4 linked regions of the Oreochromis niloticus genome follow. The protein of the gene in region 1 purifies or fractionates together with the protein of each later gene. This does not show direct contact. Links are inferred from orthologs where the notes say so. Each region holds a gene or a part of one and is shown on either strand. Other genes may lie near its edges.

Region 1 (7,482 bases):
AAGTTCATCTAATGCTTAAAATTAGTTTTTCCATCTCAGATTTCGAGAAAACTTTATGACAAAGCATTTGTAAGACGGGGGCAGCAAAATCAGCTCTTAATGCACTGTGCCCTTGGTTAACGGTGCTTTTCTTGAATGTAATTTTTAGATCAGAGTGATTAACCACTTGGCTATCGTACAAATGAAACTTGTAGTATTCAAATAGGATGCGCACTGGCCGGATTTTGCCAGTTTTTTGGACTGGGATTTTGCCAGTTTGCATAAGGAACAGTGACACCGTTGGCACAGCAGAGCAGAAATGTGAGAACGTATCTGTCCTGCTTTCTGTTGCTGATATATACATCGTGGTCACACGCTGTCATATGCTTGTCAGTGAGTGTAAGCAGCAAATGACAGAAAGAAAACAATGTGTGTCAGAAAGAGGGAGAAAAAAAGTTTGGCATTCCACAATGCTGAAAGCGGGGCCAAGAAAAGACGCTGAGGTGTCACTATCGCGCGAAGTGACGATACCCGTGCATCAAAAAGCAAGCTACCTTTGCTGCGACCGCCAACAAGACACTTGTAAGAAAATAAACAGCACCGCGGCTTTACACTGTTGTTTGGGGGTGTTGGGGAGGAGGAGGAGGAAAGGGGGGAGCTGTGAGGTTGGGGACGGAGGAGGAGGTGGGGGGGACCGTTGGTGAGTGAGTGCGTTACATGAAAACAAAAACACAGAGACACGGGCTATCGCTTCGGGGAGCTTCAAATCGAACGCCCTGTTCATCACATAACCGAGGCGTGTGTTCACAAAATGCATCCCGCGGTCAGTTTTATGTCAGCATACACAATAACGTTCACGGTTATCTTACCCGTCTTTGCGCTTAGCTTTATAAACGTGCCCGTAGGTGCCTCGACCCACTTTGCAACCTTCATATTCGAACAGATCTTCTACTCTCTCTCTCTCGGCCGCCAGCTTTGTTTTGAAGTCGTAATCCATTTTAACCCATAAATACGCCTTAATTTACAATAAAATAAAATATTAATTATAACATGCATTAATTAAATAATCTGGTCGTTTTATTCCCCCACCATTTCCTTGTTTGGGATTTTGGTCTGCTCCGCTTAATGTTCACTGGCTCGTTGACGTTTCTAATTGGCGCGCGTGGCTCGCTGGGTATGGTAGTTCTTGTGAGCAGGCGCCGCAGTTCGCCGCGTTGTCAGGCAAGCTATGGCAAACTACAACCCGCGTTTCTCGCTGCTGTTTGTTGCACTTTGCGTACTCATGAAAGCTCTTCAAAAATGCGGCCGTCGGTGGTTTGAGGTTACCTTTTTTTAACGTCACGTAAAATGTAAATGAGCTAAACGGATCCTCGTTGGCTGGATTATTATTATTATTTAATGGTCGTAATAATAATGGTATTGCAAAAGCCGAACAAATGTGTATTTATGCAGTGTATTTATTTAATATAGTTAGAGTGACCACTTCCCACCAAACTAAATGTGATCCGAAGGGTATGGGATCTATTACAAATTGTTTAAAGATATCAAGTGCTATGTGTAACCTAAGAATATTTGCAAACATCCTGGGTGTTTTGGGGGTTGTTTTTTCGGGGGATAATATGAGTTTTCCAACTTCTTAACTGTTATTTTAGCTGCTGTTTTTTCTGATAAGCATCTAAGGGTTTAAGAGGTCGCTGCATCTCTTTTTAAGACACAATTTTTGTCACAATCTGGTTGTAGAACTCAGGGGCAGAGCGGTTTGACGTCTCCAAAAACAGTTTATTTACAGCACCAGTGCACAATATATACAGTGAAGGGAATCCAAAACTCCAGGGAATCACAGGGTAGCTCTCTCACGTCTTCTTGCCCACACTCACACGGCAGGGAGGTCACAGGTCCGAGGAGGAAGGTCTGAAGCAGAAGAGAAGGGAAGTCACAAACTAATCACGAATCTCAAATTATTAAGCACAGGTTCACAGGAGCTGTGAGAAACACTAACGTCTGTAGTACAATCATCCAGCGACGAGAGAATCTGTGTTCCAGCCTCAAATAGTGCTCCCGGTGATGACAGGTGATTGTTGTCAGGTGTGTGGGCCAAGGGCGGGAGCCCACAGTGAGCTCCGCCCAGTCAGAGAGGGAGAGAGAGAGAGAGAGAGAGAGAACTTGTAGCCTTGTGGGGCCGGTCGGGCAGGCACGGAGACCATGACAGTTTTCTTTTGAGATTCAGATTGATTTTTTACTTTTGTGAACTACAGTCAGCCAAAAAGAAGAAAAAGAAGAAAATTGTTTAGTGCAGTTACAGCGGTAAAGATATGAAATGTCTTCCATAAATACAGGTTATGAAAAAACAAAACATCATGATGGAAGACCCTTGCCTTCTATAATAATCGATAGGTTTTTGACATGCACACACACCTGTATATGCAGATGTAGTGATGTCATGTCATATGTATGTGATTCATACTTAATTACTGTAATTATATTGGGTGACAATTGTATGTGTGAGTTCCCACTGCCCTGAATACTATGAGATGAGACAAGTAAGTCCTGTAACACATACAGTAGATATTTATTATCCTTTGGGATTTCTTTCACCTATTTTCCTTCTATGAGTACACTCTTTTGCTAAAATGAATACCTGCGCAGTCCAGTTTAGTTCAATCCAATTTAACAACTTGGTCATATTCTCATTTAAGTGGTTTATATTTGATATTCGCAGTTTAACATTAGTATTATAGTACCATTAAGTGAAAAAACAAATTACACATCTTAAAAAAGAGAGAGCGTACAAACGAAACATTAATGTGATAAGTAAACACAATGGCATGTGTTAGAAAAAAACGCAGTTACGTAATCGTCGTGAACAGAAGAAAACTTGTCAGAAAAGGACTTTTACACGAACATGCCGTCAACTGTCATACTCGCCTTCGTAAACTTAAATTCAGATATCATGTAATGTTATTGACGTTGCTGTTTATATATATAATTAGTATTTATTTCCAGAGGAAAGCTACATGCAGGCGGAAAAGTTTCATGGCGGAAGACCCGCCTTCTATTATAATTGATAGGTTTCTGACCAATCACAAATCCCAAGATATGGCTTTGCGTTCAGATTGGCTCGAGGTGAGGCTTACGTAGGGCTACTGCCAAATAAAAGCACCGCGCGGTCTCCATTCAGCGCTTACACAGTATGGCCGGCGATATTAGCTAGCGCTCGCTAACGGTATTCTCTGCTAAAGGGAAGACGGTAACTCAAGCAAATCAACTCCTGGATTGTTTAAAGGACTGAACCTCACTAAATAATAACAGGTCGAGGAAGGAGTAATTAAGCTGTAAACGTTTTAAACGACGTTGTAATATTTTTGGTTGTTGGGTGTCTGTTGTCTCACGATGGAAGATAACGGTGCACATTTCTTCGAGGGGACCGAGAAGCTGTTGGAGGTGTGGTTCTCTCGGCAGGATGAGACCAAAGGAAACGGAGACCTCCGTACCATCCCAAGGTTCGTGTCACTTGAGTATCTCCGAGGCAGTGTCAGTCCACAGCAGCGTATTGGTACATTGACAGAAACACCGGCTACATGCACGGCTTCAGTTGTCACTTTTTGTGATGTATAACAACTTGAATATCGTACACGTCCCGTTTCCGTTGACACTGTATTCATTATAGTTATTAATCCACCCCTGGATAGACTGCAAGCATTGAAGTGAACCAAATCTAACCGTGGCTCCTTAAGCTAGGGAGCTAGCTAACGTCGCCATTGGAAAATGGCCACCTCCCCCTTTTAACAGTGGCTGAGTCATTCATTCTTCACCCTGGGAGCTTGCGGTAATTAATATATTCGGCTCCCATCGCTTGTTTTTGCAAGTTGATTTGTCGCATGAGGCTTGGACGCCACCATGGCAACCAGTTTAGAGCTACCGCAAGCTAGTCCCTAGGAAAAAATATTCAAATTGTCAGCCGTCTCCTGATTTCGCCGACGCTGTGCAGACTGCTTGTGATTTAGTGAAGAGGCGATCATATTGTCGTTATTTGCCAATTCGCGTTCACTGCTACATATATATATTCGTGCTCTTATGCACTAAATTGCTTGGTCTTTGTAATTACATATGCTTTATTTTTTCCTGCGTCACTCTACAACGAGGGGGGCATGTGAGACATGTGGTCGTCCGTTGTCACCGCGTGTTGCCTTGTTGGCACGGAAATAGATTCAAGTATTCCAATTCCACCTTTAATTTAAAAAAAAAAATAAATTCTTTACTTTTGAAGGCTCATAAGTGATTGGGGAAAACCGTGAACCCGTCCCTCTGCCCTTGTGGATACTACAGGCTGGCCCCATGTCTGTTACCGCTGTGCGTTTAACCAGAGAGAAACTGCGTATGGTCGTGTTCCGGTCACGTTTTCGGCCATGCGGTGCGCTCGCTCCCAGTTGCTCTGATTGGTTAGAGGGTTCCCTGTTACGTTGTGCCGCGGGGCACTTGGTTACGTTTAAGGACAGGGGGTGGCGATAGATTCTGAAAAATCCATGTGGATTCAGTTCTTGTGAGAAATTCGGTTTTTGCTTGCTAGGAAAATTAGCTGATTTGAAATGCACGTTTTAAACAACCTTTAACGAGGAGAAACCCTTACAGGCAGACTTGTACCGTGTGTCGTAATCAATTTTTTGTTTCCAAGACTTTAGAGGAACTTGTCCCAGTAAAACTAATAGATTGTTTAAAATCGCCTGGGTTATGTCACCTATAGAGGTAAGAATGGTACTGATTCTTTAATGTAAGTGAAAGTGTCAATGGTGTCTGTTGCCTTTGCTTAGTGTGGTGTTTTTTTTGTTTTTTGTTTTTTTTTCCCCCTCTGGCAGCATGTCATTTCATGACTGGTTCAAGGGGGCCAAATCATCCCCAGCGATGGGTGACTTTTTCTGGTCGTTAACCACATCAGGGGCTGGTTTATGACAAGTGTGTAACCATTGGCGTGAAGGAGAGCTGGCATTAATTTACAGCCAGAGGGCAGATTAACGGCTCAAAGGGACACTGTCAGTGGATCAGACTCGATGGACGTTAGCCAATGTCCAAATAAGACCACAAGGGCATCGGATTCACAAATGTGAAGCTCGCTCGCTCACGTTACCTCTGCTGCCCCTTGTCAGGGTTCAGACTGCATATGAAACACTTCCAGTGATTGTAGGAGTGACTAGTTCATAAAGTCACAGCATATTCACCTCTAAACACCTGAAATGCAGTGTTCCCGGTGTTCAAGCCATCCAGTAAGTGACCACTTTTCTGTCTGATAAGCAGCAATTGTTCCAACATGTGCCGTCTTGATCAGCCATGTGTTCATAATCTCTGGGATACATGAAAATTCTGATCGTGTTTGGCACTTTGCTTTCTTTGAGGAAAATATTGTCTTGTTGCACAGCTAGAAATAACCTCTGGTGTCGATTTCACACCGAGGCAGGAGCTGACACAGCTTGCCAATGCTTGGCCTCTGGTATGAAGCTGGGAAGTAGGCATGTCGTAACAGCTCTGTCATGTTGCGGGAAGTGATCGAGCTGAACTGTATCCAGACATACCTGTAATGCCTTTGTTCATCTTCCAAATACACTGTTGACATTGCAAATGATATAAATATGATTAAGTAGAGTTTAGATGGCACTATATGCTCCCATTCTCATCAGGCTTGGCCTTGATGGCAAACTAAAGATGTTGAGTCTTTGCATTGAGGACAATGCCAAAGAGAAGCTTGTGTATAACAAAGCCATCTTAAAGGCACATCGCCTGCAGTTCCATATTTAGAGTAGCTTATAGCATGATTTAGAGTTCATATCATCTTGCTCCAATGTTGGTCCTCAGTGCAGGACCTTTGTCTTCTGAGACGTGCAGTTTGGAAATCCTTCACATCCTTTTATACAATTTTCTTATGCACAAACTAAAAACCAGATTTTTATATTGGTGGTGTTTTGGGCTCACACAGTATACAGAGCTGGAAGTTGAAAACTGATTACTTGTTCATGTGTTGACCTTATTTGAAACTTGATATTGGAGCACATTTGACTCAGTGATACCATACTGCCCCCCCCCCGGGAGGGGGGAGGAAGTGATGTACACAACAGATGACGTAAGCCTGTCACTCTCTGAGGACAATGTTGTTAAGGGATTAGATGAAGTGTTTGTGGCACTGGAAGGTAGTAAACATATTTGTAGTTTAGTTTCTTGGACCATTAGGCTCAAATGCAAAAGGCTGCAGTGTAAATTGTACTATTCTTGAATTTGGTGTCTTCAGAACCATGTCTGAGGGATGCATTGTTATTTGGTTATTTGTTTTTTTGTTTTTCCTCAGTCATCTAGTTCATTTGTAGATTGACAAGGTAGAAAGGAACATAATTGGGTCTTGCATTTTGCCCACAGCCTTCATGCATACTGCTGCAGTCTGGTTACTCAGGGGCATTTGTTTTTGAGAGGTTCTCTAGAAAAGCCAGTTTCATAAAGCATTCATTATTGAGCTGCTGGTATGCTTTCATCGAACACTTTACCTCTTGGAAGCTTTGCCTTGCAGCCCAGGCCCCCACTGTGAGTGGGTCTGGCTGTTCTTCCAAGGTTGTAATGTGACCCAGCTGTCTGGGTGGTGTTCGGGGGGCAGAGGCAGCTGCTAGAAGGTGTATGTCTGCTGTAGGAGCAGAATAAGTCCACATTTCCCTACAGCCATCTGCACATGACTGAAAACACATTTCAGTCTGAACAATACCTCCATTGATATGTCAGTATTGTATGCCCACAGCATACTCTAGCACTGAAATTGTTATATGCACTTACTTTTTCAGCGTAAAGACTACAGCAAGCTTCATAGACATTTCTCTTCAAAATCCTGAAAGCATTCCAAACTTGTCCATGTTACATAACCATCAACAGTTCTTTCGTGTAGTGGGTGCCACTTTAAAATGACCACAAAAGTGAACAACTTTGTCTTTGTATGCATTTAACTTGTTCTTTTTCTTTCAGGTTTGAGTGGGACAAACTTTTGGAAAATGTGCATTGTTTGATAATAAGTGTGACAAAGACCGACAAGCAGGAAGCTTATATACTCAGGTGAGTGCCTGCTCATACATGCAGAAAGTCTTCCCAAATAGACCTTAACCTAATTTCCATTAATGGCAGTCTCAGGTGCCAATATGGGCATGTACTCTACATGCCACATGCAGTCCTTAGATAAGTGTGTAGTTGTGTTAAGGTAGGGCAAGTATGGGCATGTCAGATAAAACTAACACGAAGCCTAAACTGAAACCAGTAAGCTACACTCATCTTGGGTAATCAAACAAGTATGACAAGTTGAATGGGAACTAGGGTGTGGCTTTTTTCCCTTCCTCCTTTTGCTCACCTGTCCTTTTTGTTTATAAAAAAGAGGGGGGGAAAGCCTTCACATGACCTTTTGTAGATATTACAAAGATACCAGGCTTACTTAATCATCATTCTGTATCATAGAATGTAATGAGGGAAACAATGCTCTGTGGTTAT
Region 2 (6,587 bases), on another chromosome or scaffold:
AGAGCAGCAGGTAACAACACACCCAATAAACAGAGGGTCCAGGAGGGCTCTCTCTCTTTGTCTGTTGTGTCGTTGTCTGTCGCTTGTGCTCAAGGCTCTGCAGCCTGGGGATGCTTTGCTTTGTCTTGTTGCTCTGCTCTTTTCCACAGGATCTGTTTTTAATAGTTCAATTTTTAAATTGGATCTAAAAATAGAAGGATTGCGTTTCCTTTTAAAATGTACATCATGAGCCACCCTCACTGAATCACTGTTTAATGCTCTGCTGTAGAAGTGATGATGGAGTGAACCTTTGCTCTGACAGAAAAAAGAAAAGCAAAGAAAATCCGATTTATTTTATTTTACTGGCCGTGATAGAATTCTCTTTGTGATGAAGCGAGATCTTCTTCATGTGACCTGCATCAGACCACCTCCTCTAAGAGTCTCCTCCCACCTTTCCTTCACATCAGGATATTTCAGGTCAAGGAAAAGAGGTTAGGAAAAGGATGTAGGAGGTCATTGTTGTTATTGAGCTGACTAACACAAAGGAAGCCTGCATAACTTTATTGGTTTCATCAACACGCAAACAGAAACAAACTCTTCACATTTCAAACATTTTATTAGAACAAAGGATGAAAAAAAGGTCCAACCACACCCCTCTCCCTCAACTGGACACTCAGGTGATCGCCGCAGGTAAAAACATGCCCCATCAGGCAGGAGCTCACTCTGCAGCTGGTAGGACCTGACTGAGCAGCAGCACTTTAAATTATAACCTCTGCTGTCTTATCTGTTTCGGTCTCTTCCTGCTGAGACCATTGGACTGACAAGTTCCAGGAAATAGCCACATCCATAAATCCAGGAGAAATTTTAACTTGAAAATTGCAACAGGAAGGTCAAAGCTGATGCTTCCCATCAGCTGATCAGCTCCCACCTCAGTTCCTCCCCTGCAGTCTTTAATGTTCATGTGAATGGAGAAATAACCTTGGCATCCCAGCAGCGCTCCAACTCCGTCGTCACTTTGCGGCGGCGTTGCCGTGCGGCGGGGCCGTCTGCGGCTGCGCTTGCGTCTGCTCGGCGAGTGCCTGCTGCAGCCGCATGCGTTTGCGTGAGTAGTGCTGCCAGTGCAGCAGCTGCTGTTCGTCAATGAACTTGGCGCACTGAGCGTTCACCAGCTCCTTCCTGAAGTGCTCGTACTGCAGCAGCTCCAGCATGTGCAGGCAGTGGGGGTACCTGCAGTGGGCGGAGTCACAGAGCAGAGGTCAGCTGACAGAAGGTTGACAAACATCACAACTTTACTCTCACACAGAAAATTGTCTAAACCAAGAATCAAACATGTCGCCGTACTTGAGGAACTTGGCGTACTCGGGCTCCTTCCAGTACAGCAGGTACTTCAGGTAGTTGATGAAGGATCTGTCCCTCAGGATGCCTCTCTGAGCCAGAACTGGAAACACAAACACACAAAATCTCCGTCAAACTCTGGCAAACGTGAAGCTGCGAGAGTTTCTGATCACAGCATCACTCACAGTTCAGGTAGTTGGGATTCGCCAAACACTGGACGAACTCAAGCTCCAACTGGAAACGGTTCCTGGCCTGCTCCTCTGCACCGGGAAGCACACGAGTTAATCAGTAACACGACATTCAAACCCAACAACACCGATTATCTTGAGATCATCAGGAGCACACGTGTTTAATTACAGTAATAATGTCCCAAAGGATTCAATTCACACTACACACACGCCAACATAACACAGCCATGAGAAAGCATGTTTTTATACCAGACTCCATTAGAAAAAATAGCAATTTAAAGACACATTGTTTTAATCCACCCTGAAAACTTTAAACAGGCAGTTTGGAAATTAAATTTAATGTAACGGTGAATTATTGAGAGCCGAATTAAAGCGCGAGTCTCAGAGTACAGTCTTCAGAGTCCATTCCCGGTTATCTTCAAACACACTCACTTAAGCTGATAAATCAAGTTTGTTCTTAATCTGAATAATTTCTTGCGACGTAGTGAACAGGACAGAAAAGACCGACACTTTGCAGCCTGACTTAAAGCTAATCATGAGTATACCAACGTATTTAACAACACATTGAACCACATTTAAAAACAACCAAACCTTTGCTCCCTTTAACTCCCTTAAATAAAACCAGTAATCCCAGCGCCGCCAGACTCCATTAAAAAAGTGACAATTTAACGCCGCTTTGTCGGTTTGGGAAAAGCCTCGTTGTCAAAGTAGAAAAACAAGATAGAGCACATCTAAATACCATCAGCTGCTCACAGACAGGCTTTTAAAGCCAACAAAGTAAAACTTACGGATTTATTGGTGTTTTGTCTTGCAGGAAATATTAGCCTAGCAGATTAGCATTGATCAAACAATCTGCTACAAACCTGTTTCCATGGCTACAGCCTGAAGGCACCAGTAAGTAGATGAAGGACTTAAATGTCAGATAAACTGTCTAAAAATGTTTAAAAGGCAAAAATAAGAAAAGAAAGCCGGGTTTTGCTCTTTTCAGGTTTAATCGCTGCTATCAAACGTGTGCAGACTAAATGACGTAAAACTTCCGCCGTCTTCGCGACATCTACGTCGCTTTACGCCGCCTGCTGTTCGTTGTTTGGCCGCCAGAGGGAGGCAACAGACGACAAGAAAAAAGCTCCTTCAAACTACCACAAATAACTTGATTACACTTATGTAATAATAATAATAATTTATGTGAGCGCAATATTCACAGGATAACTAATAATAATAATAATAATAATAATAATAATAATAATAATAATAATAATAGTAACAATTTTTTCATGCACAGAAAAGCACTGAAGATGTACTTACTATACTGATCAGGGTGCAGTCAGATGATGAGAAAACCAACTAATGTGCTAATACTGTGACTGTGATCATGTACTATTTCAGGTCACAGGTGACCTCTGTTCTATACAATCCTTCAAAACATTTTGCTACTTATACACAAAACTAAGAACCTTTCTTTTTAGATTTTGTATTAGTATAAAAAACAAAGCACAGCTTTCTTCAGTTTGAACACATATTGGCTGTATATGTCTTTGTCAGTGTAAAGGTTCTCTCCTGTTTACCCTCTAAAATATGTTGGATGTTGTCCTTGTGTAAACCGTCACACGCAGAGTCTAATTTTCACCCCTGCAGAATCTCCAGGTTTGGTGCTCAAAGATATATAAAAGTCTGCTGGAAGTTTGCAGAAAGTTACCCGAATGCTTTTCACCCCTGCAGAATCTCCAGGTTTGGTGCTCAAAGATATATAAAAGTCTGCTGGAAGTTTGCAGAAAGTTACCCGAATGCTTATCAGACCGTCAGCACCAAAATCTTCCAGTCTGATGAAACCAAAGTTCAAATATTGTGACACAACACACAGTGATATGAGTGGAAGAATACAGGCACCGACTGCAGGGATGTGGGGATGTTGTATTTTAACATAGAGCGAAAAACAAACGCAGAGCAGGATCATTCAGTAGGACAATACCCCAAAGCACATCATCATGAACACAGGAAGGCTTGGACTGGCCCAGCCAGAGACTGGACATGAACCTGATAAAGCATCTATGTAGAGAGCTGCACCTGGCAGTCACTCAATCTCTGCAGCCAACATAGCTGAGCTGAGAGGTTCTGCCAAAACCAATAAGAGTGACAACAAGAGTGACAACAAGAGTGACAACAAGAGTGACGTCCTAGACTAGACCCTGTCACTGCTTTCAAAGCAAGTGCAGAGTGAAAAGCATGCCCACTAATATTGGACACTGCTAATTTAATGTTTAGTGGACATTTGAAGTGGCAAAAGAATCATTTAATTATCTAAGTAAATCATTTTGTCCAAATCACATTTTTCCTCCCCCAGATAAAAGTTGCAGCTAAAAGTTTGACCACTGGGGGGCAGAGTTTCACCTGGATGTGTGTTGTTTTAATTTAAAATTCTTCTTTTTAGTCTTATCCTCAATGTCAGTGTCCTGCTCTTCAGCCACATCGATGCACTGCACCATTTTTTGGTACAAACGGCATGAAAGTGCAGCCTGGCATCAGCTGAACTTCAGCTGATATCACTTCAATATAAAACTTAGATGTTTTTGACATAAAATCCAAGCTTCTGTTTGTTTCTGTTCAAACTTTAGTTCACTTTGGAAGATGTTCGTTTAAAAAAACCCAGCAGAATTTACAAAAAGTGCATTTAAAGATCGATCTTTATTAATATGAAATAAAACTGTTAACAAGATGGTACAAAACATCACATATGTACAGAACACACTCATCAGCTCGCATAAAAACTGTGTTATTATGTTTAAATATAAACCATATAAAATGTGAAGCATATTTACTAATTACGCTAAAATAATTCCAGTTCACAGGGAAAATAGTGGTTTCTTCATTGGGAATTTTCCCAGTCAGTAAAGTTTTGCTGCAGCTCTTCTAGAGTCAGTCCTCCAAATAAAAAACACAGAACAGCGAAATAATCACAAAGAAAAAAACTTCACAGCAATCAGGAAGAAAATTATAATACAGTATCCTCTGCAGAAGAAACAATCTCATTAACATAAACTGAAACAGAGCCCTGTGGCACACCTGCTAACAAGCAGTTTCACACATTTATGATGAGCAGATAAATATCAGGAGCAGCAGTTTTTCTTATTTTACTTCAAACAAAAAGAACAATTTTATATGACATTGTTATTACAGACAACACTTTATTAAGTGTTTTATAATCATCTTGTTTAGGTCCTGTTTTCACCCTCTGTTAAACTTTCTCCGTGTTTCCATGGTTTACTCACAATGTGCTTTCATCCTTCATCCTTCTCAGCTTCTTCATCTTTTTTGATGCCTTTAAAAAAATAATATTACACTCCTGACAGTACAGCTTTCTGAAGATGTTTCAAATTAAAAGCCTGTGATGTTTTTTTTAATTTCAGGTTTCTTTCAGCTGTTAAATGTTCATCAATGTCATTCAATAGTTCTTTTTTTTATAATTAAAGGGGCAACAAGAATTTGAATGTTTGTAGTTAGAGTCCACAGTCCAGCTCATTTTAAGAATCCATTTAAAACTTGTGGACTTGGAATTGTGCATGAAGCTGTTGTTGTTTGGCACTAAGATTGCTTTAAAGACACTATGAACAAATACTAAAACCTGCACTCTATGTTAAACTGTAACCTCAGTTTGTGTGTATTTATTTAACACCATCATGTACAAACATATAAAGGTAGATCTAGTTTTTCAATCCACCAAAGGTAACGTAGACTATATTCCTTGTATGTGGGAGTCCATTAATTGCCATTAATGCTACTCTGTAGACAGTTTACTAGAACGTGCACATGCACAATGACACAAACAACAAAATCAAGATGATGTTTCTGGTGGCTCAGAAAGTGCTGCAGCACGAATATAAAAAACAAACTCCTTGCAGGGAAATGCCCAGATGCTGGAGCTGAAAGATCAAACCTGAAAAAGTTTTTATGTGCATAAATAAAGATGTGGGAGGATGTTGCTCCTATACGGGTGCAGTGACGTTGGCCCATGAGGGGAAAGTGTCCAGAGAAAACAGGACCCGACCCCAGCTGTTGATGGCCAGACTGATGCAGCCGATGCCGATGATGTTCATCACCACACCTGTTTTAGCCTGTAGGGGGCACAGTGGCAGAGGAAGAGGAGGCTATGATGACAGAATGAATCAGAATGATTATTTCTTTCCAACTGGAAGAAATGAAGAACTCACCATGTCGGACACTTTGAGGAAACCGGAGGAAAACACAATGGCATTAGGTGGGGTGGCCACCGGCAGCATGAAGGCGAAGGAGGCGCTGAGGGTGCAGGGGATCATCACGTACAGAGGGTTCAAGCTGATGGACTGGGACTGGGTCAGGAAAAGGACAACAGAGTCATCAACTTTACCGATAAACTGGCTTCAATGGCTTTTTTTCCTGTTACATTTCAACACTTCCTGTTCAGATGTATCATAATAAACGTCTGTCAGTGGCTCAAAGGGTGAAGCTCCTTCTGTTCTCTGTCACCTTATGATATGAAACATCTGTAGGAAGTGCAGCAGCTTGTACTTCTACTGTATGCTGATGATAATGAACTGTTACATCACACTATGCATATGTACAAATACAGTCTGTGTTGCCTGTGTTTTTGGTACCATGGAAGCCAGGATGGGCAGGAAGAGAGTTGCTGTTGCAACGTTGCTTGCACATTCAGTGAAGGTGGCAACGAGCAGGCAGAGGATGATGGCGATGGCCCACGGAGGGACTGAGTGGAGCGGCGTCATCTGATCACCGAGCCAACGTGACAAACCAGACTCCTGAAAAACCGACAAGAAAAAGCAGGACTTCAGTCTGAGTCTGAAAGCAAAGGTTTCTCTTTACTATTAATGAAAACTCGATCTGGTGTCTTTACTTTTCCATATTATATAAGATTTACTTAATCTCATTAAACCATCTGCACTGTGCCCATACAGAGCAGAAGAGTCGTTTCGTTTTCATTTACTCACAAAGTCTTAGTTGTGTTATTCTCTTGGCTATCAAAGTGTATTTTTAGTTTATTCCTTCTACAAATATCAAAACTAAGGTTGCATAAAAGAATTTAACAGAAGGCCG
Region 3 (7,141 bases), on another chromosome or scaffold:
TGTGTAGTTACAGGTGAGAAACTAACACACAAACATCATTGTTTCATAGTAGAAGATAACCTGATGTAACCTTTTGATCTTTACTTACAGTATATGACAGTAAGGATTCATCTGCATCTTGTGCTGTGACGTGCGGCATGAAATCCAATAATCCAAACAGAACTTCAACTACATCTGTGCATGTACATTCACACGGGTCCCTAAAGTGCAATATAGATTCAGTGTTTGATGGATACACTACAGTTACTATGAGTCCCACATTTAGCACAAACGCATTTAGCACAACAACAGGTGGGTGTTTAGCCATATGCTGTTTGTGAACCTTTTACACCTGAATCAAAGAAATAATAATATTTAGTTTTTGGTTCCACAGGTTTTGAAAAAGAGCCTGAAGACTGGATCCCACTTATTTGTGGTATATCAGTATCATGTGTCATTTTAATGGCATTTATAATTTTTTGCTTCAAATCAAGATTACATTCAGGTAGGCTATGCAGCTGCGCCTTACTTCCACTTCCTGTGTATTTCATTGTTTTGTTTTAATGGTTTGCATGAAAAATTTCCCCCCATGATTCTGAATATACTTCTGCTTCTGTCTCACCAAAGCATTTCCTGTTCAAAATTGTTGCTGTGGCTTGAATAGCAGGGTAAGTATCTGTGCTGACATTGAGGTGTAACCTAAAACTCTCATGCAGAAATGAAGTGTGTGCGTGTTGCTTTGTCTGGGTAATGAAATTTATTGCTTTTTACTGCAGGTGGAAGAGGAGTCTTCAGTGGTTTATTCATCAATTATCATCAGGACACCTGGCAAAAGAATTAATCACATGGCCTCTAGTGATTGTGTTTATTGTGAAATAAAAGTATAGAGAAAAAAAGGTCCAGGATAAGTGAGGTCACTTTTATTTATATAGCACATTTTAAAACAATATGGATTGGTCCAAAGTGCTTTTCAGTTGACTGTTAAAATAGGTAAGGTCATTAAAGGGCACTGTTTAGAATTATACTTTCCATCCTTGCTGTCATTTGATTTAGTAACTAATTCCTCAAATTACTTAAATTGTAACTTCACCCACATGTTGCTCAAGGGAAAATCTGAAACCATGAGTCTCTTTTTCCAACAAAGGAATGATTTCTAATCGAATCTTTAACTGAACTTTTACCTAATTCTCTGAAAGCCGGGCAGATGTATATATCTATATATATATCTATTTACTTAGCACTTTTAACTTTTATTTTTATGGTTATTTAAGCGTTGTTTGACAGTATGTTTTGCACTAAGTACCACAGCAATTTCCTAATGTTGTAAACCTGCTCAACATTTGGCAATAAAACCCTTTCTGATTCTGATTCTGGGTGTTTTAAAGTACATGGATCGATAATTTTAATGAGAGGCTTTGAGTGTGATACAGATGTTATGTAACAACATTTTTTTTGTTGTTGTTGCTCAGTACAGAGGTGAGGTCCATTCATGAACTGCATGAAAGCACAGTTTCTGGTTACCTTGCAGATCAAGTTAAGATAAAACAAATGTAGGTAAAGAAGTAAAGTTGACCTCAAAATGTTACAGCAATTAAATGCTGCTTTCACAAAGAGAAACTTTATCAGGTACATTAAGTTACTCGAGCTCAGCAATTAAAACAAATTTACAAACAATTTATATTTTTTTGTTAAAAGAAAAAAACACTTATTACACTAAATTTATTTTACAGCTGTATTTTGCTTTGCAGTTTTAGGTTTTACATAATCACCATATAAAATATGACCGCAGTAAAACAGCATCTAAGCAAAAGGTTGCATGAAGAAGGCTGTTAAAAGTGTTAAAACCGCAGCAGTGCTGCGTCTGCAGTGTTAATCAATAATGATCATCAGTGATAGCAAAACAATAACACCCTGCAGATAAAAGGTTATAGTATGATTATTACTGTGAGAAATATGTGTGTTCATACTGTGAGGACATTTTGGTGAGGATAGTCACTGAAAATAATATTTTGGATCCTTTTATTTGTTAAAGTGTTTTATTCAAAGTAAAGTATACAAAAAAAGTGAAAACAATAGAAAAATAGTCTTAAGAAATAAACCAAAACTCACTAAATGCGTTGTTTGAAAAGGCAACAGACAATAAAAAAATATAAAGGAAATGTTGTTTAGTCAAAGATGGAAACACAAAGAGGAGGCTCTGGTGAAAATGACTGTGAGTCAAATGTGTTGTACTGTACTGTTTTACTTATATTTGACCTATGTCACTAATACCACCCACGTCATAAAAACAAAAACACCAACACAGAAACTAATAAAATGCAAACTTATCATTTAACACTTAAAAACCAAACTGAAATCAGAAAATCCACCCTGAAAACTAAAATAACACCAAAATCAAAGGTGGAAAATCCTAAATTAAAATAACAATGGCAGTATTCATAGCAGTCATCTCCGAATAGCCTAAATTGAAAACAATTTGAGTACCACAACACCAACCAACAGAGACAGACAGGACATGACACACAGGACAAACCACTACATCACGATCTGTCATTGGTGGCAGTGTGCACAGCTCTAAGGAAAACAAACCCAAATAAGGCAGCTGACCCAAATAATATCCCCAGGCATGCACTCAGGGTCTACTCATCAGAGCTGGATGGTGCATTCATAGACATATACAATCTGCCTATGCTTTGAGTCCACTACCAGTGGGCCCCTCTCCAAGAAACATACTGCCACATGCTTAAACGACTATCATCCTTTTGGACTTACATCAATTGTGATGAAGTGTTTTGAAAGGATCAAAAAGACCATCCTGGCTACCTTGGACTCTTTACTTTATGCACACATACAGAATCAGTCCACTAGAAGGTAGTAACACGTCTGTGAAAATGCTGTTCGTTGACTGAAGCTGCATTTAATGCTGTCAGACTCACACCCTTTCTCTGTAACTGAGCTCTGAACTTCCTGTAAGATAGACCCCACTCAGTCAGAGTTGGAAACCAGACATCAAACATCAGAACTGTGAGCATTGGTATTACTCAGGGGCATGTGCTGAGTCCACTGCCACATGCTCTCTTCACATATGAGTGTGAGCATCCCCCTAATCAATACCAGAATTATAAAATTTGCATATGAAACTAAAGTAATTGGGCTGATTACTGGCAGGGATGGCATAGAGAAGAGAAGTGAAATGACTAGTGGCCTGGTGTCAGGAAAATAATCTTGCCCTAAATGTAGATAAGAGCAAGGTGATCTGAGGAAAAGACACTCCAAGACAGAGGTGGAGGACACACATGAGGATGGATTTCACCTGGTCTCACAACACCCAGCAGGTAGTGAAGAGCACATTGACTGTACTTTCTAAGATGACTGACAGGGCTCAGCTGCACTACTCAAGACAGGAAGACTTCAGTGTGCGAGAAAAACTGCACAATAAATCACAGGATCATCTTTTCATTAGTATAAGACATTTACACCACCAGGGCTGTCAGCATTGCCCACATCAACATTAAATACAACACAAACTCACAACACCACCAGTTAACAGGTAGGTGGTAGATGCTAAAGGTAGATGCAACAGGAGTCTGAAATCAAAGACTGTAAGTCTCAAATCAGACTCATGAATAAGACAGTCAGTGTCGCCTCTCTTCTACCCCATCAATATTATTGACTATTAGTGTACTTATTATTACCTGCTATGGCATAAATTTGTAAAGACCGGCTTGCAAATATGGACAAAGCAGGTACAACTCGGGTTTTCAAACTCAGGTCTGTTTTTAAAACTAATTTTAGTGTTTGCATTTTCAATACTTGCAATCTTTGTAAATTTTCTGGATTCTTTATTTTTATTTTATTTGAATAATTATGTTTGTTTTGTGTCAAGAGATTGGCAAAATTAAGTGTAAACTACTGCTTTTATTTCCACTGTATGTATGCCAATAAAACCTCTAAACTTAATGCTCAGTAATATATACTTTTCACAGTACTGTGAAAACAGTAATAGTTTCCACAGTACTGATAATCCATTCGTATAGCCTGTGTTAATAAAACCAGAGTACCTATAGTCTAAAAAGCCTGTCTGTCCATGACGTCCATGTCCATTTCTTTCTATTTTATGCACAGATGACCTGCTGTCGATATTTTTAGCACTACCAGTAGGTGGCTGTAATGAGCCTCAAAGTTGGATGTCTACCGATTTGACACACCAAAGGAAGACGCTTCTCATTCATTGTTGTTGCTAACTGTGTTCACTTTTTCTTTCATAACTAAAAAGACGTTTATTTCTTTCCGCGTTCGCTTCTTTGTTTTTGAAAGGTAATATATTTTTAATGTTTCTGTAATAACATTGAAACGCTTAGCCTGGTAGCTTAAGTAATGTTGCGGTTAGCTACTAGCAAACCGAGTAGCTGTGTAGTAGTAGCCGTGTAGTAGTAGCCGTGTGTTTAGAACCCTGTTTAGGCCTTTGGTCAATAGTATTAAAACGTTATCGAGAACGAACACTTAAAACATTTACCCGGTTTTCCTCGGCTACTGCTCTTCGTGGTTTCGTAGACAATAGTGCAAACTGTTGTTTCGAGTGAGTTACACTTAGATTAGTGTTACCACCGGCTATTAGCGAGCTAAAAGTTACAAACTCTGTTACCTATGGCGACAGGTGGAAATTTTTTGTTAATGATGGCATTGCTCCATCAGATGTTCCGACATGTATATATATGTATCTGCATATAATTTTCTTTCTTTAGGCCCAAAAACCTCAAAGTACCCGAGGAAAGATGGAGGCGCCACCTGTTACTGTAATGCCTGTCACTGGGGGCACAATTAACATGATGGAGTATCTGTTACAAGGTAAGATATCATGCATCCGCTGAAGCAAGTAAGCAGGTAAATAACTAACAAGCCCTGAGTGTTATACATAGCATATAGTACTGATAGTGGCAATACTACAGATAGTAGCTTATAGTAACAAAAATGCAAAGCAACAGCAATAATCATTTAATAGTTGCATTGTGCAACTGTTCAGCACAATGAGTAAAGTTACATCAGCAACAGCCTTTGGTGTGAAAGTGAATAGTGAATGAACAGTGTTACATATGTCACGTTTGACCTAAATTATTATGCACTAGCTCCTAAATGGTAAATGGTAAATGGCCTGTATTTATATAGCGCTTTCTAGTCCCTAAGGACCCCAAAGCGCTTTACATATCCAGACATCCACCCATTCACACACACATTCACACACTGGTGATGGCAAGCTACGTTGTAGCCACAGCCACCCTGGGGCGCACTGACAGAGGCGAGGCTGCCGGACACTGGCGCCACCGGGCCCTCTGACCACCAGTAGGCAACGGGTGAAGTGTCTTGCCCAAGGACACAACGACCGAGACTGTCCGAGCCGGGGCTCGAACCGGCAACCTTCCGATTACAAGGCGAACTCCCAACTCTTGAGCCACGATCGCCCCACATGACCCAAATAACAGCTAAATTCTTATTATAATATTATTACAAATAATTTTTAAAATGGTGCATTTACAATGTTTAAAACCTTATTTCTTAACTTGGTCACTCTGTTGTAGAATACTGTGGGTCTTCTCCTGGACCATTGCAGATTTGTTTAGAAAATGTATGGTCCAAAGTTTGGCCATTTATGATTGCTGTGACATTTTACCTTGTATCAAATACTTTTCAAGATATATTTTCTTTGAAATATGGACCATTGACCCTCTTCCAGCATTTTTTTTGGTCATACTTTGAAACCAGATGTTTGAACACAAATATCTGTTAAAGATAATAAAGAGAAAAGGATATGATTTCCATATCCAGATCTGCAGATCCAATCTGTAAAGTGTCATATTTAAACGCACACCAATTTTTAATGGTATACAATTGAATTTCACAATAATGCAAAATGGAAAATTATTTCTTAGTTATAAAAATGAAAAAAATCTTTTTTGGGGGGTTTAAATTTCATGCTGCATTGAGCAAATGTGAAGTTGTACCACAAAAACGAAAAATAGTAATGCATAGTTTAACCCAAATAGACCAAAATTCTAAATTCTGGAGGTTTCAGATGGTATTCTAATTACAACAGTAAAAAATATTTTGATTTATTGAGATAAGTTTAATAAATCAAAATGAGTATTTCATGACCTACTGAACTGTCTTATAATTTACACTAGGTTTAAAATATTACTGCGTGTGCCCTGAAAGTGGGTGGATGTGTTGTTTTTTTTTTTTTCTTTAAAGGAAAATCCTTGAGGTATTTGATATATGAAGCAAAAATGTCAAAGCAATCATTATATATGTACAAACTATGGACGATCTAAGATAGTTAAGCCCATAATGTCTCTAAAAATATTATGATTTGAGTTTGTAATGTTTAAAATGTGAGCTCTTAGCTGTTGATTTTCTCTGAGAAATGTTAATGGAGACTATATTTATAAATATAATATGTATAGAGTCCTAGCCAAATGTAATTTTTTGTATTTGTTCCTTGTGCACTTTATTGAATCAGGGAGTGTGTTAGACCAGGCCCTGGAAAGCCTCTTGCATCGCCTTCGAGGTCTGTGCGACAACATGGAACCTGAGACTTTTACCGATCATGAGTTGGTTTACCTTCTCAAAGGCCAGCAAGGAAACCCCTTCATTTTGCGTGCCCGCCGTTCCCTCTCCCACCCAACTGCTCCATGGCACCTACGCTACCTTGGTCAATCTGAAGTGGGAGACAAGAGTCGCCACGCTTTGGTACGCAACTGCGTTGATGTTGCTGCCTCTCACAGCCTTCCGGAGTTCCTCAATGAGATGGGCTTCCGCATGGACCATGAGTTTGTCAGCAATGGACACATATTTCGTAAAGGTGCAATGAAAATTGTGGTCAGCAAGCTGTCACGCATACTTGTACCAGGGAATACAGAAAACACTGAGCATCTATCACTTTCATACCTGGTGGAGCTGAGTGTGTTGGCTCCTGCAGGACAAGACACTGTGTCAGAGGACATGCGCAGCTTTGCTGAACAACTCAAACCCCTGGTTCACTTGGAAAAGATTGACCCTAGCAAACAGAGACATTAGCCAGTTTTCCACAAAAAGGAACTCTCTCCGGGTGACTGGGAACCTTGGGAGGGACTCCATGAGTTTCCACCAGAGGAACTAGGTCTAAGTC
Region 4 (5,920 bases), on another chromosome or scaffold:
GGCAGTGAAGTAGTGTTTATTAAATTAAATGCAAATTTGGATTGGATTATGACCAGCAGCTGACTGGCTAGCTCTTTGGTGCACATAAAGACACTTTGTGAAAGCATCTTTCCTAGAAACTTTTATGAAACCAGGATTCACATGATGGGAGCAAATCTCTTGTCAAATAAAACTTTCACTTTGCCCTAAATCTAAATAATACAAGAGAAGTTCATTTTATTGGGAAACGATTTGTTTTAATGATGCACAGCTTCAGTGACTGTGTCTTTCATATAGAGATGCATGCTAAGATTAGACCACAGATTAGCAGACAGGACATCTGCATCCTGTCAGAGATGCTGGGAGGTGACACATCTGTTGGAAACTGTCAGCTGCCCATTCACGTCATTACAGAGGCTGAGTGGGGAAAGGCAAGCCACTCGGGGACTGCTATATAGGGGTTCAACTGGAAACATCCTAAAGTCACCCAGGCTTAAAAGTTATCTATAATTCCCTTGTTAGCTATAAATCACAAGTTTAGTCTGGGCTCCACATGAGATATTTTCCAGGGCAAAGTGGTTTTTTACTGCTGAAGTTCCTGCATAGAAACCTATGTTCAGAGCTAGAAAATAAATAAATCACACTTTGTTTTGAAGTATGATGATATGAATACTTCTCAAGAAATTTCAAGTAAGAAATAAAATAGGAGCTTTGTGTAAAAAAAAAAGAAAAAGCAAACAACCAAACAGAAAACAAAACAGAAGAACTACTTAGAAGAGTTTTTTCTGTTGAATAGCTAACCATAAACACGTAAATGCATACTCCATTTTAATAAACATTACTGGGAAGGATATACACTGTAAAGAGTGTATATCCTTCCCAGTAATGTTTATTAAAGGTAGGCTGAGGTTGATATTTACAGTTGTCCTCTGTGAAATTTCACAGAGGACAACTGTAAATATCAACCTCAGCCTACCTCCCATCTGAAAATTGACTTCTCCCTTCTTCTGCCTATTTCTGTTGAGATGATTAGATGTGAGAACTGTGATCTTTGAGAACTATGAAGGATCATGCAAGTGTGAATAGATCTATGAGCTGAAAGTCATGTTTAGAGCTCACAGAACACATGTGACTGCATATACAAATCATCATTCCTTCACTACTACCTGTGATATTTTCTAAAACCTCAGTACCTCTGCAGGCATTCAGGCACTTTACTTAAAAGTAGAGCCACTGACATTTTCACTAAATATTACATAAGCATAAGAAGCACGCCCCAGCACTGTTGACTCGTATGTGCTGTTGGCAGCAAGTAAGTCCTGGATTTGAATCCACTGGCTGGCTGGGGCCTTTCTGTGTGCAATTTGCACATTTTCCCTGCGTCAGCATGGGTTCTCTCTGGGTTTTTTGGCCTTATCCCACAGTCCATGCAAGACATGCATGGGGTTACATTAATAGTGATTTTAAATTTGCCACATTGTTCTCTCTGTTAGCCCTGCAGTAGAGTGTGAGCTATTCAGGGGGTACTCCATATTTCACCTTTTGGCAGCTTGGATAGGCTTCAGCCTTAAACTGGATAAATAGAAGAAAACTGATGACTAGATTGATTACAGAAGCATTTTTAAAATCCATAATTTAAAAAAATAAATATTTAACATGGATTTTCCTTAAATGTATTAACATTTTCTTAACATTTTCAGTTGCACCTCGAGGGGTTGACAACAGGTATTTGATTTTGCAGTTTTATGCAAAGTAGGCCAATTACAATAAAACAAAATATAAATCATAATTAAAATGTTTCATTTCTGAATGCTTTTCATACTTTTCACTTAATGTTATCACTGTCACTGTTTTCTCCGAATGAATAGTCACTTGAGTATCAAGAACAGGACTAAAGACGATGTCACTAATGTTCAAGAAGCCTAAAAACCAGACCACACCACAAATAAAAAATGTTCAGTCAAATAAAGTCAATGAACTAAATTCTTGTGTTCATATAATAATGTGATATTTATTCTCTCTACTGTAGCCGTTGGGATATTTTCATACCTTTCTAATAATGCTGGGTCACAAAATGACCTGCTTTTTAAAATGTATTAATGTGAGGTGTCAGAGCTTTCCCTATGACCCAATGGTAAAACACTTAGGGAACATAATGCCCTACAAACTCAATCTAGGTCACCTGTACTAACTCATGTAAGTTTGAGCAGTATGTAACACTCTGTCATACTGGAAATTAGTGTGAGGACTGAGCTTCTGGTAGGATCTTCAGTGATGCCACACAGTGTGAGGCATGAGAGAAAATGTTTCCTCAGCTGCACATCTAAATGTGAAGTTAAATCTTAATAAAGATGATCTTAAATATTCATTGGCTGTGTCACAGAGGTGGTCTCATTGCTGCAGTGACTAATGAGAATGCTTCCTTATAGTGTTTACTAGGTGTGGGTAATGAGTGTGCCAGGCAAGGGAAGAGGAAGGGAGCAGCTGCTGAAATTAAGCTTTGATGAAAACAAATAGCCATGAAAAATATAGGTCAGCAGGGTTTAGAAGATCAGATAAAGAGATAGAATTGATTCCACATAATTTAACCAGCTATAGCATAGACTACTGAGCTTTTGTTTTTTAAATGAAACCACAAATTTCTTAATTACATCTAAGTGCAGATTATGAGCTGTGATGTTGTTTATCAAGGGTCTCTATTAACTCGTTTTTCTATCATTAGTTAAACACTAGATGAGTCTCTTGCAGAATCATTGAAGATATCAGGTTGGTCACTGGTCATTAGCCAATGAGGCTAATGACCAACACAGAGACCTGCTGGTGACTAATCTCCCAGGAATATGGGTCAATGGAAGGGAAGACAAGACAGATTAGTTTTATATTTGCACAGCCATGACAATTTATTTAAAAAAGGTATTGATTACATCATGTTTTCTAGGTTTATCGAATGCCACTATTCTGCATTAATCTCTATAACCTGAATACACCACATCAGTTATCTGTAAAATATAAATGCAGTAGGACATATTGTAGTCCATTAGATTATATTTGTGCATGTCAAAGTTTATATGGGTTGCCATGCTTCACTCAACATGCATGACATGTGTCACACTTGTAGGGATAGTAGATTGCATTTACTGCCGATATAGATGTTTCAGGTTGCTAGGTATTGGGATGTGAAGCAAATTTTCCCACTCATTGCAGGTCAGCTTTGTTTGCTCGGTGTATTAATGGATTATCTGGGGCTTATTTAGGGGCCAGTGCGTGCTGTCGTGGGTTTCATTCAAAATAATAAAAAAACACCCGGGGAACGTTTTTAGCATAAACAGTAGGGAAAAAAAAAATAGGTTTCATGGGTTTCTCTTAAAATAGAAATTCATATTAGGCCTGTGCAAATACCTCATGGCACACATGCTTAAAAATGACTGAGAGAGACAGAGAAACAAGAGGATTAGTATTCTCTTGTTATCTATTTGAGGAAATCTTAGATGTATGTTGTAAAACCCTTAATGTGCTACTTTCATTTTCTACTTTTTTTGTAACAAGAAGGACAAATTGTATTCATTTTTAGCCCTACTAATTAGCTTTAGGCTAACCGCCACTTTAACACCTTAGGCTCAAGATGAGAATACAGCACCTTCGTTTCCTTGATGCTGTGTAATGAATTCAATGAAAACACTTTAAAGAAAAATGATGTTGACATCCTTTCTTCCTCAGCTTTTTTCAGCCTATATCTCTTGAGGTCAAAATTCCCTTTTGTGTTTTCATAGTCCGTTAGGTGCGCAAAAGAGAGCCTAAATCAGCAAAAGGAATGACAAAATGTTCATTCTGCCTTTTTATTTATTTATTTCAAACATTTTAATGAAAAACTAATCTCCTCTATTTTGTCTTTCAGTGTGATTCACTTTACCTGTGTAGTCTGCATGTCCATTCATTCATTCATTCATTCATTGCTCTTTTTCTTCTTTGTCCTGTTTTTTTTTTACTTATTTTTTTTTTTTTTACTTTATTTTCATGAGTTTTACACACAACCTGGACTTGTATAGCAAAAAAACACGCAAAAATACCTTCTGTAAATGTGTGTGTGTTTGTTTATGAACTCCAGGTCAAGAATGTACTTATTTTATATTGTGGCCCACATGCAGCCCACTTTTATCTTAAGTGGGGTGAACCTTTCTACCAGCGAATTAACTGCACATTTAATCACAGCGATATCTTAATATTTGAAAAAGAAGAGCGACTTTAACAGTTTTAGAAATGCTGCTGTAGTAAATGAAAGAAATGTATCAAAAGTGTAAAATTTGTATGTAAATGTGTAAAACACTATGTATTTATTCTGGCGCGCGCGGGGGGGGCATGCAAAAGTTTTTAAAATAACTTTAAAAGTCAAAAAAAATATACACTCATTCACACTTTTTATAGCATCCAGTGGGCCGGATTGCAGTCTTTGCCAGCCGGTTCTGGTCTTATGTTTTACACCCCTGATCCAGGTAAACGAAGAAAATACGTACAGTACACAGTGCGTATCCACCCAATTACAAAATGTAGCACTATATCGCGAAAAGGTCGAATGAACAGAAATAAATATTTCTATTAGTTTTTTACAATTCGAGTGTAGTGACGTCATCAGGTTTGTGCCTGACGTAAACAATCTGCGTCGGGAAGCTGGGGAAGAGCGATGGCGACAGCTCAGGCGAAGCTTGACAAAGAGAGCGATGACTGCTCTCTGCTGCCTTTAGTTCATGATATTATTAAATGGTAAGAGTATTTATTGGTTCGTGTGTTGTCACACTGTGTGCTGTATGCGCGGGGCAACACTTGCTTGTGTCAGTCGCTTGGTGGAGTTGCTATGCTTGTTTGCTGTGTTAGCTGAAGCTAATGTCGATAGCTAAAAATGTTAAGTGTCTGCAATAACAAAGCAGACGGATGACGCCCTCTTCTTTTTCCCCATTTGCTTAAAGCATGGACAAAGACAACCAGGATGTCCTCCAAGAACTTGGTAAACTAAAGGCAAAGATCCAGGAGGCTCGGGAGCAGATCTCCAACATGCCGGGGATAGACAGCAGTCCGCTGGAGCAGCAGCAGCAGCTGGCCACGCTGCGGGAACAGGTCCGCACGAAGAACCAGCTGCTGCAGAAATATAAAAGTCTCTGCATGTTTGATGTGCCCAAAGCATCATGATACTAAAAGACTTTGTATGCACGCAGTATGGAGGAAGCGAGTGGAGGTGGCGTGATTCAGGAACACCGGATGGACATTGAAATAATAACCGTCTTTTCTTCAATTGTGTCGGACTGCAACATGTTTTTGAACTTGTCTTTGTTATTTGTGTTATCACAGTGCAAATTTGTTTATATGATATTTGTATTAAATTGGGATTTTCACTTTTTTGAATCCCATGATATTGATACTTTGTAATAAATTGTATTTTATATAAGCTTCGCCCTTTAAGGTTATTCGGAATAGATAAAAACAGACTATGAACCATGGTGAGCTTCTTAAGGGCTTCTTGCAGTTTTAATCTGCATGTTTGTGACGTGACAGGATGATGTAACAAGTTCCGCATTTTAATAGATGGAGAACATTTTTCCAGTTAAGGGAAGCCGAAATCCGGGAAGAGTGTGAAGCCGTGTTGTGTTTAATGCAACTTCTTTGAGATTTGCTTGAAATGAAAAAGAAGGGGGAGGCAGACTATAAAAGTAACAAGTTTTATTTTCTTTCATATGCAAAAGTCAGGGTAGACAATAAATACACATTTAGCATTAAATTTGATCATAATGCAACAATCAAGTTTCACCATGGTTGAAAAAGCACAGTGAAGTGTAAACATGTTTCTTTTTTCCTCAAATGCTGCTCTTAGAAAGCTAAAATAGAGACAGATTTACAGCATTTTCAGAGCTTCTACTGCACTACACAGAGATTTATGAGCCGAGCTAGTTCA

Evidence for each region.
Region 2: the proteins of cdk19 (region 1) and med31 purify together in Homo sapiens (affinity purification with mass spectrometry; 6 studies listed by BioGRID and IntAct, counting the BioPlex papers as one, with this or other methods). This does not show direct contact. The link is inferred for Oreochromis niloticus from reciprocal best matches to the Homo sapiens genes CDK19 and MED31.
Region 3: the proteins of cdk19 (region 1) and med18 purify together in Homo sapiens (affinity purification with mass spectrometry; 5 studies listed by BioGRID and IntAct, counting the BioPlex papers as one, with this or other methods). This does not show direct contact. The link is inferred for Oreochromis niloticus from reciprocal best matches to the Homo sapiens genes CDK19 and MED18.
Region 4: the proteins of cdk19 (region 1) and med9 purify together in Homo sapiens (affinity purification with mass spectrometry; 7 studies listed by BioGRID and IntAct, counting the BioPlex papers as one, with this or other methods). This does not show direct contact. The link is inferred for Oreochromis niloticus from reciprocal best matches to the Homo sapiens genes CDK19 and MED9.

Annotation. Positions count from the first base shown.
Region 1 is NC_031980.2:31,094,378-31,101,859, reverse strand, and holds the start of cdk19 (cyclin-dependent kinase 19), read right to left. Parts: upstream 3,004-7,482; 5' UTR 1,979-3,003; intron 1,891-1,978; 5' UTR 977-1,890; coding exon 849-976; intron 1-848. Other genes in the region: amd1 (S-adenosylmethionine decarboxylase proenzyme), read left to right, coding at 3,370-3,479, 6,970-7,056.
Region 2 is NC_031975.2:31,352,675-31,359,261, forward strand, and holds med31 (mediator of RNA polymerase II transcription subunit 31), read right to left. Parts: upstream 2,557-6,587; 5' UTR 2,376-2,556; coding exon 2,366-2,375; intron 1,575-2,365; coding exon 1,500-1,574; intron 1,418-1,499; coding exon 1,321-1,417; intron 1,207-1,320; coding exon 990-1,206; 3' UTR 525-989; downstream 1-524. Other genes in the region: slc13a5a (solute carrier family 13 member 5a), read right to left, coding at 5,483-5,611, 5,708-5,845, 6,131-6,292. UniProt on the Homo sapiens protein: Component of the Mediator complex, a coactivator involved in the regulated transcription of nearly all RNA polymerase II-dependent genes.
Region 3 is NC_031976.2:26,228,941-26,236,081, reverse strand, and holds the start of med18 (mediator of RNA polymerase II transcription subunit 18), read left to right. Parts: upstream 1-4,138; 5' UTR 4,139-4,296; intron 4,297-4,321; exon of another isoform or gene 4,322-4,558; intron 4,559-4,724; 5' UTR 4,725-4,754; coding exon 4,755-4,827; intron 4,828-6,493; coding exon 6,494-7,050; 3' UTR 7,051-7,141. Other genes in the region: uncharacterized protein LOC109204220, read left to right, coding at 1-13, 91-291, 374-484, 607-647, 756-866. UniProt on the Homo sapiens protein: Component of the Mediator complex, a coactivator involved in the regulated transcription of nearly all RNA polymerase II-dependent genes.
Region 4 is NC_031969.2:20,679,931-20,685,850, reverse strand, and holds med9 (mediator of RNA polymerase II transcription subunit 9), read left to right. Parts: upstream 1-4,577; 5' UTR 4,578-4,657; coding exon 4,658-4,737; intron 4,738-4,940; coding exon 4,941-5,160; 3' UTR 5,161-5,416; downstream 5,417-5,920.